2 linked regions of the Neurospora crassa OR74A genome follow. Each later gene encodes a partner of the first gene's protein in a complex. Links are inferred from orthologs where the notes say so. Each region holds a gene or a part of one and is shown in the gene's direction. Other genes may lie near its edges.

Region 1 (7,285 bases):
CCTAGCTAGCAAGTGGAACACTACTCACAAAGCAACTTGCGTCGATCGCTGCGATGAGAATTCAAACCCGTTCAGCCGCCAAGAGGCTCAAAGTAAACACCGAGGAACACATCGTGGTTGCGAACCCCCTCCAGAATCCGATCCTTGTTCCAGATCATGTATCTGAGACTATTGTAGCTTCGGTTGAGGCTGAATCCTGGACGAGAGGGAAACGGAAGCGGGGACATGCCACGCCGGCGCATCCTCTCAAAGGTTCGCTCACTTCTTTGCTCTCGATTTCAGCCTGCTAATTAGTTGAGTACATAGGTGGTCGGGATGTCTTGCCTCCTAGCATGGGCGTTCTGCCAACCCCTGGTACAATTCCAGAGACACCAGATTCGCTGAGCAGTTCTTCCAATGCGCCGGTGCATTTAACGCGAAGTGTGGCCAAACGCCAGAGTCAAACTTCGCTCGAAACTACAAAGATTCGGACCGAGGATGTGAAGGCGCAGAAGACGCCGATCAGTATAGGGCCCCTACAAGTGACTAGACCTGATGATATCTCGGTACATCATACCCGAGGTGTGACCGAACGCCGGACCAAGGTTCAGTCCGCCATCATCAAGGATCGGACGAAAGATGCAGCTGCGACAGAAGCTGTAGAGAACATCATGGGCACTTCTCTGGATAACACTATTGAGGTGAACACCCCCAACGACGACGACGACGACGACGACGACGACGACGACGACGACAAAGACGAGGAACACACTGAACGGGATCGACGGGGTACCAGGTCGTCTTCCAAGAGGCCAAATACAGAAACCGACAAAAACCTCGATAGCGGCAATGGACATATTATTGTCAAGACCAGCAAGAAGGCAGCCAAGGTCACCGCCACAAGAATAGCCACCGTGGACCGTGACAGCCCTGACTACAGAATGCCAGTGAGAAGGGGCCCAAATAATCCCATGGGGTTCACGCCAGGGTTCTCACCCTACCCCAATCGTCAGGCTCCTACCTCTGAAGCATGCGAGGATGTGTACCGCGTCTTGGCAACCATGCATGGCAAGGTAGAGCAACCCAAGGAAATACCCAAGGCATCTTTGGAGAAGGCCGGATGTGGCGAGGTACCTTGCGTATTGGACGCCCTCCTCCGGACGCTGATTAGCGGCAACACACTGATGGCCATGGCGGACCGAGCGATCAGGAACGTAGCTCAAGAGTACGGTTTACGAGAACACGGCTCAGGCATCGGAAGCATCAACTGGGAAAAGGTTGCCAGCGAGCCAGAGGAAAAGCTGGCCCAGGCTATCAAGGTTTCGGGGAACGGAAACCAGAAGGCCAAGCATATCAAGCTAATCCTCGACATGGTTGCGTTGGAGATGGCGCAGATGGCAATGGAGAACAAGGGAACGGGCGGTAAGCGAGAAGTCGCCTTCTCAGAGACGTTGAACCTAGACCACATGCACACCGTCACCAAAGACGAGGCCATGGCCAAGCTTGTCCAGTATCCCGGTATTGGCATCAAAAGTGCTGCCTGCGTTACACTCTTTTGTCTTCGCATGCCCTGCTTTGCAGTTGACACGCATGTCCACCGGTTCTGTCGCTGGCTCGGTTGGGTGCCGGAGAAAGCGAATGCTGAGGACTGCTTCAGACACTGCGACGTGAAAGTGCCGGATCACCTCAAGTATGGCTTGCACCAGCTGTTTATCCGCCATGGACAACAATGCTTCAAGTGCCGGAAGGCGACAAGGCCTGGTACGAAGGAGTGGAGGGAGGCACCCGAATGCCCGTTGGAACACCTGCTGGACCGGGGGAAGGGAGGAGACCATGGAGATGGATAGACAGGGAACGCCGGAAAGAGTCGATTTGGAAGTAGTTGGTTTCTTTCCAAAAGCAATAATTTCCAGTCTGACTCTTTGGCCCGCCATAACTTGAGACCCTCTTGATACTGTTGTGACGGATGAAAGCTCCCTAGGCCTTTTGACCTCAATGTTCGAAGATTGGTGATTCATGGAAGAGATGGGGAGTTGGGCGAATCCGTACCATGATATACAAGTATGTAGGAGCTCTCCATCTGGCTACTGGCAACAGCTGCTGAGCAGCTGCCTGTTTCTGACCATCGGACCTGCCTGCCGCGCCCCTCTGCCCCCCCTGCAACTTTTAGCGGCCCCACGCACTTTAGGTCTGACGCGGTTCCTTCTGGATTGACGCGCAACAACAGAACCTAGGTTTCGTTACAGCGTCCATTCCTCTTCCTTTCCCAGGCACTGTGGACGCTGGCTCTGGCATGTCAGAGGAAGCTCCCGTCTGACAGCCGCACCGTCAACTCCAACATACAACAGGAGAACCTTCACCGATTGCTTGGTGAAAGAAGAACGGAGTCAGACTCCTTCACTGGCCTGGAACATAAAACCCCACGAGCGCGGATTTCTCTTCTGTCCTATTGGTATACAATTTTCCTCCAACCCTTTGTCTGTGGGTGCAAGCGATACCCGCACATCCATCGCCATCTCGGCCTTTGCCCTCCGACAAAGCATCACTGCTCGTCCTCGGTTGCCTGGAGCATCTTGCTTCAACTATTCTTGTCATTCTTTTGCCGCACAAGTTGTTCCTCTAGCATATCTGTCGCTCACCTCGAAAGCTTCTTGTCGATGCAAAGGCTTCTCTAAACCATTCCGTCTGCTTTGCGCTGAAGGTTGCTTCTTGCGACCATCGAAGCGCAACCCACTTCGCCCTCCAAGCTCCGTCAGCCTAGACAACCACCAGAAGCCATCACGTTCTTGAATCGACCGCCGAGATGTCAGACAAAATGGAATACCCAGAGCTGGGGACCGCGGACGTTCAGATGGCTATGATGGAGATGCATCAAGCCTTTGAAGAGTTTCCTCCAGACGCACATCCAATTTGCCCTTTGCTCAGCGACGATGACGATACGGACTACGCGTTGCCAGACCTCCCCGATGCGAACGGAACAACGGTGGCAGAAAAGCAAAAGCGAATCGCTGACGGGTTCGAGAGACGTAGAATTACCTACGGCCTTTCGCTTCTGTTGGTGATGCCAGAGGCTGGTAAATGGATCAACGAGTGGAAAGAGCGTGTCAACTTCTTTCTCACAAAATGTGACCAATGTGCCAGGACATGGCATAGGACACGCCAGCAATTCATCAGAGCCATTGATCAGTGCGTATTCGCAAAAACCTACTTGGTCCACCGTAGGCCTGGTGACCCCAGCTAATCCGATTTACAGATACACTTCCCGAGACAACGCCGAGCTCTTGCGGAATCTACAGAAAAACCTCGAAGCCTTCGATGAAGAGCGCATCACGCGCGGCCTCAAGAGAGCCAAATTCATCCTTGAGAGGGACGGTCCCATGCCGACTACGAAGCTCGTTAGAATCGAACTTTGGCCGTGTCTCGCCTTGTTCGAATCGCTCTGCTGCATGGCATACTTGAACACCAACAAAGCAAACCTAGAGATATTCAATTACGTATTCGAACATGTCCAGCCTAAGAAGCCGCTGAAGATGGTGGGAGGCGCAATTCCGACCATGACATACTTCCTTTTCGAAGAGTATCCGGTGCACAGGGCGTTTGCAGAGGCACAATGGCAACGGATGCTGCCGGAAAGCCTCACCGATGAGGAGTGGGAATGGGCTGTCAGAAGCGGCCTCAAGTCCCATATACTCGGCCATAGGGGGATACAGCCCCCGGCGCGGCTGTGTCGCTTTTGGAGCGGATTCCTCCTCATTTTGCGAGCTATGAGCGAAAAGAGTATTTTGGAAAACCTCCGCGGTATGGAAGTACAACCGAATGTCTACTTCCTTGCTCTCGAAAACCTCGGCACCAATAACGTCCCTGCTTTGAGCATGATACTGAAAGCACTTCGTACGCTAATGGAGCGTTCGTCAAAGGCTTTCTGGGACGCCTATGACCAAGTCACTCCGAGTATGATTGTGGAGGAAATCTTCAAGAGCCCGGCTTTTCGGCCCTTTTTAAACCAGTCTCTTGAGCCGGACATGATGGTCGAGGACCAGGAAAACAACGGTCAACTAATACCAGCGTTGGCAGAATGGGTCAGGGCCTTTATCCGTTCCCTTCCCTCAGCGCGGCGGTCAGACGTTTGCGAGACTCTTCTTCGGCATCTGTTCGAAACTCTCCGGGTCGACGCAGGCGCAGCCCCAGAAGCGAAGGCCACTTGCATCCTTGCTGGTCTGGTGACCTTGAGAGAATGCTTGGACGGCTACCTCAGCCTTCCATCCTTTGATACAGGAACGTCTCTTATTATGGTCAACCAGTTACTCAACAGAGTGATTCAGTACAAGGAAGTCATCATTGACGCGACCAGGCTCAAGGCCGCGGACAAGTACAACGTTGGCCTCTCACAGGCTGCTATAGCTATCATACAGTCTGCCCTGGCATTGGACGCGAAGGCGACGTTGATGGAGTGGGACGCTTTCGTTAAGGAAAAGCCTGTTCAAGATGCCGTAAACAGGGACTCTGGCGCATTGTGGGAGTCATTCCTCGAGCTCGTCTGGAACGGACAAACAGATCTCGCCAAGGCCATGTTGAGAGCTACGATGCCTCTCAGGAGTATCGAACGGTTTATCCCTAAGCGGAAAGACCAGCTCAAGAACGAGCATGCAAAATTCAACAGACGCTTTCAACAGCAAACGGCGGCAATTGGCAAAATGTTAGGCCGCCTGTCTGACTTCAACCCGGCTGATCTTGACAGTTTCTGCTCGGATCCGCAGAGTAACACCATCCAGCCCATCGTGGCGACTCTAATACACGGTGAGGAAGCCATTCGCGAAGCTGGCTTCGAGTTGATCAAAGCCATCACAGGTGAGATGACGCCATCTGAGGCCGTGAATAAGATGCTTGAGGAGTACTTCAGCCAGTTCCTGGAGGCCTTCACTGGCGCCGTAAACCATATCACCAACGCCAAAGACTCCAATAATCCGTGGAGTCACATGCAACACTTGTTGAAATGCTGTGAATTCGTGCTCAATAGCTTAAGTGATCCGTCTGTAGGTCAACTCAGACGCAAGACCCTGACCCCTGCGGAACATGCTATCGTCAAGGGATGGTGGGATTGCGAATGGAGAGCCGTCGGCCACTCGTTCGGATCCATGAGACTCTGGCACGTGAAGGTGGACAAGAAAGTCATGGAGGACTTTTGTCGTGATGTGATGGAACTTGCAGAGAAGCTCCTCGCCCAAGACGGTCTCATGGCTTCGGCACTTAGCAGTCCTCAAAGCATCTCGGCGACAAACGGTGACGACGGCTCAGAGGGCATGAAGTTGGTCCTGGAGCCGCCGAGAATACACTCGCTTCCCTTAGTGGACATGTTGCAACTCCGCGATAAATATCTTATCGCCGGTATTATCGAAATCACCAAGAAGTTGATCAAGCGTCTGCAAGACAACGGCATGGATCTTCCGCCAAAAACAGTCGCCTATCTCAACAATATGCTGAAGAAGAGGAAGATGACTGATGGGCGAACGGACTACCCCATAAAGACGAATCTCACCAACGAGCAACGGATCGAGCTACTCAAGGCGCTCGGGGACGATGCTGCCATCGAAGCGCAGTTCGTTGGTGGAAAGCCTGTGAAGCAGGAGGTCAAGCCGGTTATGAAACAGGCAAAGCTTGATTTCTCAAAGGCATCACTCAAAGACCACATTGCCTCGCTTACGCCTGCCTTTGAGAAGGCCACTGAGAGGCGGAAGAATGCTCTGTTGGAGACGATGAAGGCTGAGGCTCCAGCCAAGGCTCCTCCCAAAATCGACTCAAAGGCTGCCGACAAGATCAAGGAGGCTAGGCGGCTTGAGCGAGAAGCCAAGGCCAAGCGAGATGCTGAGGCCATCGCGAGGGCAAAGGCCCTGCGTGCGCCACCGAAGCTGGTCCAGGGAGAAGGCTCAGGTCTGGCTGGTGTTGCTGGAGTTCGTGGCAAAGACCACGCCCCAGTGCTGAAGGATGAGATCATGGTTGGTTCATCATCGGAAGACGAAGATGAGTCTGACGATGACGAGTTGATCACACTCCATGCCGCTGGAAAGAAGAATATGACTGAGGCCGAGCGTCGCGCCCATCGGTTGTTGGCTGAGAAGATGCGCGGACCGGTGAAGAAGGTCAAGATCGAGCGGTCCGCCAAGGATATGCGCGCTCGCCTTATTCCCCCTATGGATGTGTTGCACCAGGCCATCTTGGAGTGGGACATCTTCCACGAAGGTAACGATCCGCCGAACGGGTACCGTTGTGATCACGTCTCGGATACCTACCAGGACCCGGTCAGCTACAAGCAAACCTTCTTTCCGTTGCTCATCAATGAAGCCTGGCGCTCGTTTGTCACAGCCAAGGATGAAACCACGTCCAAGCCCTTTGGCATCAAGGTACTTAGTCGCATGACAGTCGACAAGTTCATGGAAGTTACGGCGTCGGTTCCAGTTGCAATCAACAAAGACCGTCAATTGTCTGAAGGAGATATTGTCATCATTTCCAAGGGCCAAAACCCGCTTCAAGAGCCAGAAGAGCTACACTGTCTTTCGCGTATCTGGAAGACAACTTACAAAAAAGACAATGTGGAGGTCGTCTACCGCCTGAATGCCAAAGGGAACCAAATTCTACCTGCGCTACTGCCTGGCTCGGAGTTTACCGTTGTCAAGATCACCAACATGACGACCATTGAACGCGAGTATGCCGCCCTGGAAAGTTTACAGTACTATGATCTTATGGACGAGGTATTGAGGGCTGAACCGTCTCCTATGCTGTCTTTTGGCGAGGAGAACATCAAGAACACCATGAAAAACTGGAATCTTAACCCAGGTCAAGCGAAGGCGATCCTGAACGCCAAGGAGAACGATGGGTTCACCCTTATCCAGGGTCCTCCAGGTACCGGTAAAACTAAGACCATTGTGGCAATGGTTGGCTGTCTTCTGACCGGCGTGCTCAAAAACCCTACCGCTGGGGTGGCCATTGGGCGTCCGGGACTCGGAGCTGCGAAGAACAACGCTCCAGCAAAGAAGCTGCTTGTTTGCGCGCCCAGTAATGCCGCTGTGGACGAATTGGTGTTGCGCTTGAAGAATGGTGTCAAGACCCAGAACGGAACAACTCACCAAATTGAGGTGGTCCGTCTCGGTCGCAGTGATGCCATCAACAGCGCAGTCAAGGATGTCACGCTTGATGAGCTGGTCAAGGCGAAACTCGAGGCTCAGTTGAACAAGGATGAAGGCCCGACTGACCGGGAGAAGCTGCACCAAGAAGCGGGCGAGATCAAGCAGAAGATTGCCGAACTCAGACC
Region 2 (7,393 bases), on another chromosome or scaffold:
TGAAGATCCCATCCATTCTATGCTGAAAAGAACCGAAGCCCGACCGTTTTCCGACCGTCGCGCCAAACTACCTAACCATTACTACTATCACAACAATCGCTTGATTTAAAGCTTCTTGCAGATCTCGATCCACTTGTCAGTGGAGTAAGACTTGGGCCTAGAGTCGAAGTGTTAGCCATAGCCCTGGATCGACACGATATCATATAGCAGCAAGACATACCTCTCAATGGGGGCACCGACGGCGCGGTCGATAATCAGCTGAGGAAGGACACCAATGGCGCGGGAAACACCGAAGAGAACAGTGTAGTAGTTGGCCTCAGTAAGACCATAGTGCTGGAGAAGGACACCAGAGTGGGCATCGACGTTGGGGTAGGGGTTCTTGGTCTTGCCGTGCTCGGTGAGGACCTTGGGGGCGATCTTGTAGACCTGGCTGACGAGCTGGAACATGGGGTCCTCGGGGAGGTGCTCCTGGGCGAACTTGCGCTGGGCAGAGTAGCGGGGGTCGGTCTTGCGGAGGACGGCGTGGCCGTAACCGGGGACAACGCGACCGGCGTTAAGGGTGTCCCAGAGGTACTTGGTGATGGCCTCATCGGAGAGATCGTCACCGATGACCTTCTTCATCTCGGTGAGCCAGTTAAGGACCTCCTGGTTGGCAAGACCGTGGAGGGGACCGGCGAGACCGTTCAGACCGGCAGCGACGGAGAGGAAGGGAGAGCTGAGAGCAGAGCCGACAAGGTGAGTGGTGTGGGCAGAGACGTTGCCACCCTCGTGATCGGTGTGGATGGTGAGGTAGAGACGGAGGAGCTCAACGAAGTCCTTGTTGTCGCCGAAGCCGAGCTGGTTGGCGAAGTTGAAGGAGTAGTCCTTGTCCTTCTGGACAGCAGCGACCTTGCCGCCCTTGAAGACGTTCTGGTAGATGCGGGCAGCAATGGTGGGGAGCTTGGCAATGAGGTCCATGGAGTCCTCAAAGGTGTAGCCCCAGTACTCCTTCTTGTTGATACCCTTGGCGTAGGCACGGGCGAAGGAAGAGGTGTGCTCGAGAGCGGTGACAGCGAGGGAGAGCTGAGCCATGGGGTGGAGGTCAGAGGGGCAGCGGTCGATGAGCTCCTCAATGAACTTGGGGACATCGGAGCGGGCAGCCCACTCGGCAGAAAGGTCGCGGACCTGCTGCTCGGAGGGGACCTCACCGGTCAGGAGAAGCCAGAAGAGACCTGCGTATCAAGTCAATACACAAGACCGCTTAAACACGATATCTCACGGTGCATGGTCCTGGCAAGGCGCGCAGGCGTGTGAACGTACCCTCGGGCAGGGGCTCCTTGCCGCCGGGAGCCTTGGGAAGCAGTTCCTGGCACTCGGGGATGGTCTTGCCGCGGAAACGGATACCCTCCTCGGCGTCGAGGACGGAACCCTCCCAGACAAGGCACTTGATGCCACGGGCACCGCCATAGACCTGGTCGAGAGTGACCTTGTCGACGACCTTGGAACCGTGCTCCCTGAGGTTGGCAGGACAGATCAGCAACACGATAGACGAGTCGAGAAGCTATCGACGGCTTATGCCGAGGCAGAGGTAGAGCTTACTTGCGGAGGGCCTTGATCTTCTCGATGTTCTCGGGGAGGAGCTCAGCGAAGCGCTCCTTGAGAGTCTAGTACGGCCAAAGAAGCGCGGTCAGCGGATGATGTCAGTGTGTCCCCGGCTCATGAGACTGCCTTACCTGAGTCTTGGAAGAGTAGCATCTGGCGGCAGTGAAGGCAGTCTGGCGAGAAGTGAGGTGGATGGAGGACCTCAGGGCGGCGGAGCCCAGGCGCATAACGGGAGCCATGGTTTACTGAGTGGGAGGACGGGATGTGGTGTGGTTGAGGAGAAAGGAACAGTACGGAAAGGAGAGAAGAAAGGGAAAAGGTTCAGGTTGAAGCAATCAAGGCGGCACGGGCTTGAAAAAAAAGCGCAGCCGGGGAGCAGGCAATGCGTGGGAAAATATGCCTGACCTGCCGTCGCAACCAGCGAACCAGGGCAGGTCCAGAGGTCCGTTAGGTGGCTTTGGCGGGCTCTGCTCCCGTCGCTCCTGCCGGGGGATTGGCCTGCCCCGACTGGATGCGAATTGCCCGCAATTGCCAGTGCCAATTGGATCCAATAATGTTCACGGGCGGGAGCAAATAGGCGGGGCTCCCACTCTGCTCGGGCCAGTGGACCGGGGTGTTCGGGCCAGTTCTCTCACGAAGTTGTTGTATTGTACAATACACCGGGCCGCGATGCTCGTGACACGACACGCTGCTTGATCCACAATGGCCGACTCGTAGACAGGCAGATGCTCCTCTTCCCTCGCGAATCCGCGAGTATGAGACTGGAGAAGCCCACACCGTAATCACCGTAGAGGCCGGCGCCAAATCTCCGTTTTTTGATGGATACAATATCCGGCCCTGAATGTGGTCAATTTGGATCATGAAGCTGAACATGGAACTCTGCGGGCCAAAGGTTCAATGTTTCTATCCGGATGTACGTGGAGGTAGCTTGGCCGAGCTGCCGAGCTCGAGCGGGTCAGGGGGTCGCTGACGCCGTTCTAAGGATCGAACGCGGGGCGGCTCCCACACGTGTGTTTCGGTTCCCAAGTCTCCTCCCGTCCATGCGCGCGGTAAAAGGATGGCCGACGACGGAAGACCGGAAGAATACCTGGACACGACCACGCTGAACACTTGCGGCACCGACATCATGTGCGCGTCTCTGCAATCGCATGTGTCTCGAGGGACAGCGGTTGTCAGACCAGACCTCAACATCGCGATGTCAAAACTGCTTGTTCACTCGCATCGATGTCGACACCGGCATGCATTGACGTCACGGCACCCTTTGGGCCTTTGGGACTACCTAGGTATGTACTTGGCCCTTGCGAGATCCCTAACTCATCCGGGGAAGCCGCCCCTTTTGACAGGTGTGGAAACGTTCCTGCTCCGGGTTTCCAGAAAACAATGTTGGAATTGCCAATTGATGGACGGATTGATAATAGATGAACCCGCCTGCACAATCTGTTCCCTAGCACGTCCTCGACACTCAACGCTCATCATCAATGTTCGTGGAACCTTCGGGGTTGCATGGAGAGTCGGATGGAGCACGCAACCGACTCCAGTAAGGGCTTCATCCAATCTCAGGTTGGATGTGGATCAACGGTTGGGGTTCCTAATTTACCGCAATCCGTCTCGGCTTTGTTGCCTTAGTGCCTCATGCTCTTGGTACGTGCGTCAGGCCACAACACGTCCGACACCTCTCTGCAAGGCTTTCGTTTGCTTGTAAAAAGAAGGTTTTCCGAGCCTTCAGTCACAACAGTTCGAGGCGGGTCATTCGAACCAATCAAGGCGTGATTGGGTGGCTCGAAAAAGTGCCTGCCAGTTCGTTCCTCCCCTCGGGCCACGCATCACAGCCACGGTGCCACAGCAGCACAGCACACAGGCAGCAGGGCAGGCAAACCGAAGCGACGAACGGATGCAATCGAACCCGACAGACGACTCGAGCAGAGTCAAGATCAGGGCAGCCACTACAGCCGAGTACCCACCCATACCTGCACCAACCACCGACCACTGGCACTCCCCCGTCCAGTCCACTTCTTCTACTTCTGCAACGACAACTTTTCTTTCTCCCCGCTTTCCAACCCCAACTCCCTCCTCACTTCTCGCATCACCACCACATCACGCTTTTGTCGTCATCAGCGAAAATAATCTTAAACGCCAACGGAGACCGCCTTCGTCAATCCAGCAATCCAGTAATCGACTAGTCGCCCAGGATTTGTCCATGCATCTCGACTCAGCACACGCTCACCTGGATTTTCTCACTTTCTAGTAGCCTCACAGTAAAAGGGTGCGCCCAGATCACATCCGCGCAGGTCAAGTCCTGATCTTGTCTGCCCTTCGTACAGCTGCTTTCGTTGCGGTTCTTGCACGTCGTCACAGCTATCCCCAGTTGGTGGTTTCCACTTCGCGCGTCACGTCAGAAAAATAAAAAGGACCACCGTATTCTTGCTCGCACACACGCCGGCCAGCAACATATATCTCTGGCCTCTCGGCTTCTCTTTTTTTTGCTAGGACTTTGCACTGGCCTACGGCTTCTGCGCTTGTCTTAAGACGCACAGAAAGGACAGTCTCTTCGTACAAGCTGCTCTCTTCTGAGTACCCGGTGGCGCGGGCAAATTGCAGCTTCGTAACCTCGGTGATATACGTCGAGAAGCAAGGAAAGCAGACCTTGGATGCCGACCTGTTTGAGCCTTAATCAACGTACTCCGTCTTTCCACCCGTGACAAAGGAGCATGGTATTGGCATAAAACCTTTAATCAGCCTTCACCGTATCACAACCGTACTACATCGCAGCTTGTATTTCCAAGCCCAACGGCCAAGTTGATTGCCGACTTCAGCTGGTCTTGCTCGATTTTCAAACAAAAATCATCCATCATGTTGTCGTCACAGGCGGCCGTAGCTGAACTAGAGAAGGGCCTCGGGGACATGCAAAACCTGAAACCGCCCGGTGTCTCTGGCTCGAAAATCAATAGCCTCACCATGCTGTGTTTGAACAACGTCCAGGTAAGAAAAGCGCCGTGTCTGGGCTCGACAGTATGCACGATGGAGGCACCAGAGCTAACCACACATCCTTCGACAGTACGAATCACAGCTGGTTCAGAAGTTATATACCCACTACAAGAAGACACCAAACACTCACAAGCTGGGCGTCCTATACGTCGTAGATTCTGTAACCCGCAAATGGTTGGAGAAGGCAAAGGCCCTTGAACAACCCGTCACCCTTGGTGCACAGGATGGCACCTATGCTGCCGGTGTCCATAGAGTGACTGAACTAATGCCCATGTTCATGAACGCCATCATCTCTTCGGCCCCCGAGGATCAAAAGGTACGCACACAACCGCACACTCATGTGCCGTCTTACACTTATACCTCCATTTCTGCCAAACGGACTAGACCCCGAGCACACTTGGGAGCGGCTGTAAGATCAGGCCACACCAGTCGTCTTCACTTTCCTAGACCATATCGTGCATCCATTTTTGGTTGTATTTAGTGTCCAGTATCATGTTGTTCATAAACTCACACCCGTATCGTCTTGTAGGAGAAGATCAAGAAGCTGGTCGACATATGGGAAAAGGGCCAGACGTTTCCTCCCGATATGGTCAACACCTTCAAGGAGAAGCTGAATGCTCATCAACAGCACAGTAGGTTTTGCCCGGATCCTCCTAAGCATATTCCCTTACGCGTGTGCGGTGCTCGTTGTTTGCCTGATCTAACTGTAGCGTGTGCCGATAGATGTCTCGACAACACCACCAGGCAGTCCCCCTCCCAACCCGCTGGCTTCCTTGCAGGCCACTAGCAGACCTCTCCCTACGCCTACAACTACCGCCGTAATGCCGTCCAACATCCTGGAGACCTTAGCAAATCTTGCCCGCTTGAATGCGAATGCGGCTCAGAGTAATTCCAGCGCGGCCGCCCCTGCTCCCGCCCCGGCCGCAACTGCGGCTGTGGCCCCTTCTCCGGTACAAATGGGGGTCCCGCAGATTCCTCCTGTTACTTCTTCCACGCCGCATCCCATGTTTGCTACTTCTGGCCAGCCTAGCAATGGAGCATTGCCAGCCGGATTTCTTCCCGGTGTGGGGCACCCGGGTATGCCGTACTTATCAGCATCGCAGCCGGCGGGGCAGTCGGTGAACATGCCACCGACGATGCCATTTGGCTTCCCAGCTCCGGCCGCACAGCTAGCTCAGCCTGTGCAAGTGCCAGGAGCAGCCCCTAGTGCGAATACCGCTACGACGGTTCAGCTGTTCGCCGCCCTCGCCGCCCAGGGCATCCCTCTTGACAAGATTGCCAGTGTAATGCAGCTGATGGGTCAACCAAGTGGCACCGCCCCGGCAGCACCTCCCCAGTCCGTTGCTCAGCCTCTATATGCCGGCTATCCTCCTCCTCCCCCTGCTGGCGGTGTATCTGCTGCCCCTGCATGGGAGGCCGTGAGACATGATGAATCACGTGATCGTAATGGCTATCATGATGGGATGAGGTCTCCAAATAGGCCTCGGGGTCGCTCTCGCTCACGCTCGCCGCGGCGCTGGGATGTCAGGGGGTCGCCTCGAGCCCGCGGTAACGATCGCTTTGATTATGGGCGGAGCACCCCGCCCCGTGGCCATCCGGATGATCGTGGTAGAGACCGGGATATGCGTATTCCCGAGTACCGACAACGGTCGCCCCCCAACCGTAGACATGAGAGCCCGGGTCAGGAGCCGCCCTCCGAGAAATGGGTCAAACACGATCCTACTCTTCCCAATGGTCACATCAAGGTGTATAGCCGCACGCTGTTTGTCGGTGGTGTGACGTAAGTTTGCCAAGCTGTTCTCCAGCCTATATGTGCATTGACTGACAGACATGTAGATGTTCCGAAGCCGAACTCCGCTCCATTTTTGGTCGCTACGGCGAAGTACAAACGTGCATCGTCAACAAAGAGAAAAGACATGCCTTTGTCAAGATGTACTACCGTCAAGATGCTGAGAATGCAAAGAAAGCCATGGAAGAGAACAGAGGCTCCGACGTCCAGCTGCGGGTAAGTTTGCGACTCATATCTTCGTTATTGGTCGCCAACTAACGATTTTGTAGACTCGTTGGGGTGTTGGCTTTGGCCCCCGTGACTGCAGTGACTACCAGACTGGGATCAGTGTCATTCCTATTCATAAGCTCACCGAAGCCGACCGGAAATGGATGTTGACGGCACCCTATGGCGGAAGTGGTGGCCAACCTATTACCACCGGTCTTGTTGTCGAGGAGCCAGACATTGAGATTGGCGCAGGTGTTTCGTCAAAAGCCATCAGTCGACGTATGCAGACAGACAAAGGGGGTAACCATGGCCCCAAGTCAAGCCGCCGAGATGAGGAGCCCCAGCATCCTACTGGGAACGCAGGTGGACCGCCCCCTGCCGGTAACCGCTGGCGGCATGGTCGCGAGAAGCATCGCAATAACAGTGGCGATGACAGACGCGGCGATCGGAATGACAAGAATGCAGCCAACGATGACCCGATTGTGATGGGCTTGCCTGGAAACATCACTGTTGGACCGAACGGCATCAATTTTCCTCCCAATTATGCCTTCACATCCAACAGCACGTCCAACAACTGAAGGGTTCGGTTCCTGCTGGCTCGCGGAGATAAAGGCCCAGGGAAAAGCTGAGGAAGACGAATCTGAAGAGAGAGCACACAGGCGAGGGATCAGTTAAGGGAGGAGATACCCCTTGAGATGGATAAAGAACCATGGAGAAAAAAAAAGTTACTGCTATGGGGCCGGAGGCTATCGTTATTTGCGGCGTATTGGTATTCTTTTTTCTGGGTCACTACGTTAGTAGAGGGGCAGCGGTAGGGTATTGCTCTAGGTC

Evidence for each region. The genes of interacting proteins can lie anywhere in the genome.
Region 2: the proteins of NCU02036 (region 1) and NCU01695 are in contact, whole or in part, in an NMR structure (PDB 6GC3), measured with the Saccharomyces cerevisiae proteins. The link is inferred for Neurospora crassa OR74A from reciprocal best matches to the Saccharomyces cerevisiae genes SEN1 and NRD1. Residues at the interface, in NP_013534.3 of Saccharomyces cerevisiae: Asp2052, Asp2053, Asp2054, Glu2055, Asp2056, Asp2057, Tyr2058, Pro2060, Ser2061, Ile2062, Ser2063; in NP_014148.1 of Saccharomyces cerevisiae: Asp19, Leu20, Lys21, Ser22, Ile24, Ser25, Gly26, Ser27, Arg28, Lys30, Tyr67, Asp70, Ser71, Arg74, Lys123, Met126, Leu127, Ile130, Arg133.

The regions. Positions count from the first base shown.
Region 1 is NC_026501.1:1,602,648-1,609,932, reverse strand, and holds the start of NCU02036 (tRNA-splicing endonuclease), read left to right. Parts: upstream 1-2,236; 5' UTR 2,237-2,782; coding exon 2,783-3,165; intron 3,166-3,232; coding exon 3,233-7,285. Other genes in the region: NCU02035 (helix-hairpin-helix domain-containing protein), read left to right, coding at 54-252, 307-1,826. UniProt on the Saccharomyces cerevisiae protein: ATP-dependent 5'->3' DNA/RNA helicase required for the expression and maturation of diverse classes of non-protein-coding RNAs like precursor tRNAs, rRNAs and small nuclear (snRNA) and nucleolar (snoRNA) RNAs.
Region 2 is NC_026502.1:2,699,231-2,706,623, reverse strand, and holds the start of NCU01695 (RNA binding protein Nrd1), read left to right. Parts: upstream 1-3,468; 5' UTR 3,469-4,431; coding exon 4,432-4,560; intron 4,561-4,636; coding exon 4,637-4,882; intron 4,883-5,095; coding exon 5,096-5,198; intron 5,199-5,289; coding exon 5,290-6,346; intron 6,347-6,402; coding exon 6,403-6,571; intron 6,572-6,624; coding exon 6,625-7,140; 3' UTR 7,141-7,393. Other genes in the region: cit-1 (mitochondrial citrate synthase), read right to left, coding at 106-157, 221-1,211, 1,300-1,493, 1,579-1,643, 1,713-1,820. UniProt on the Saccharomyces cerevisiae protein: Plays a role in sequence-specific regulation of nuclear pre-mRNA abundance.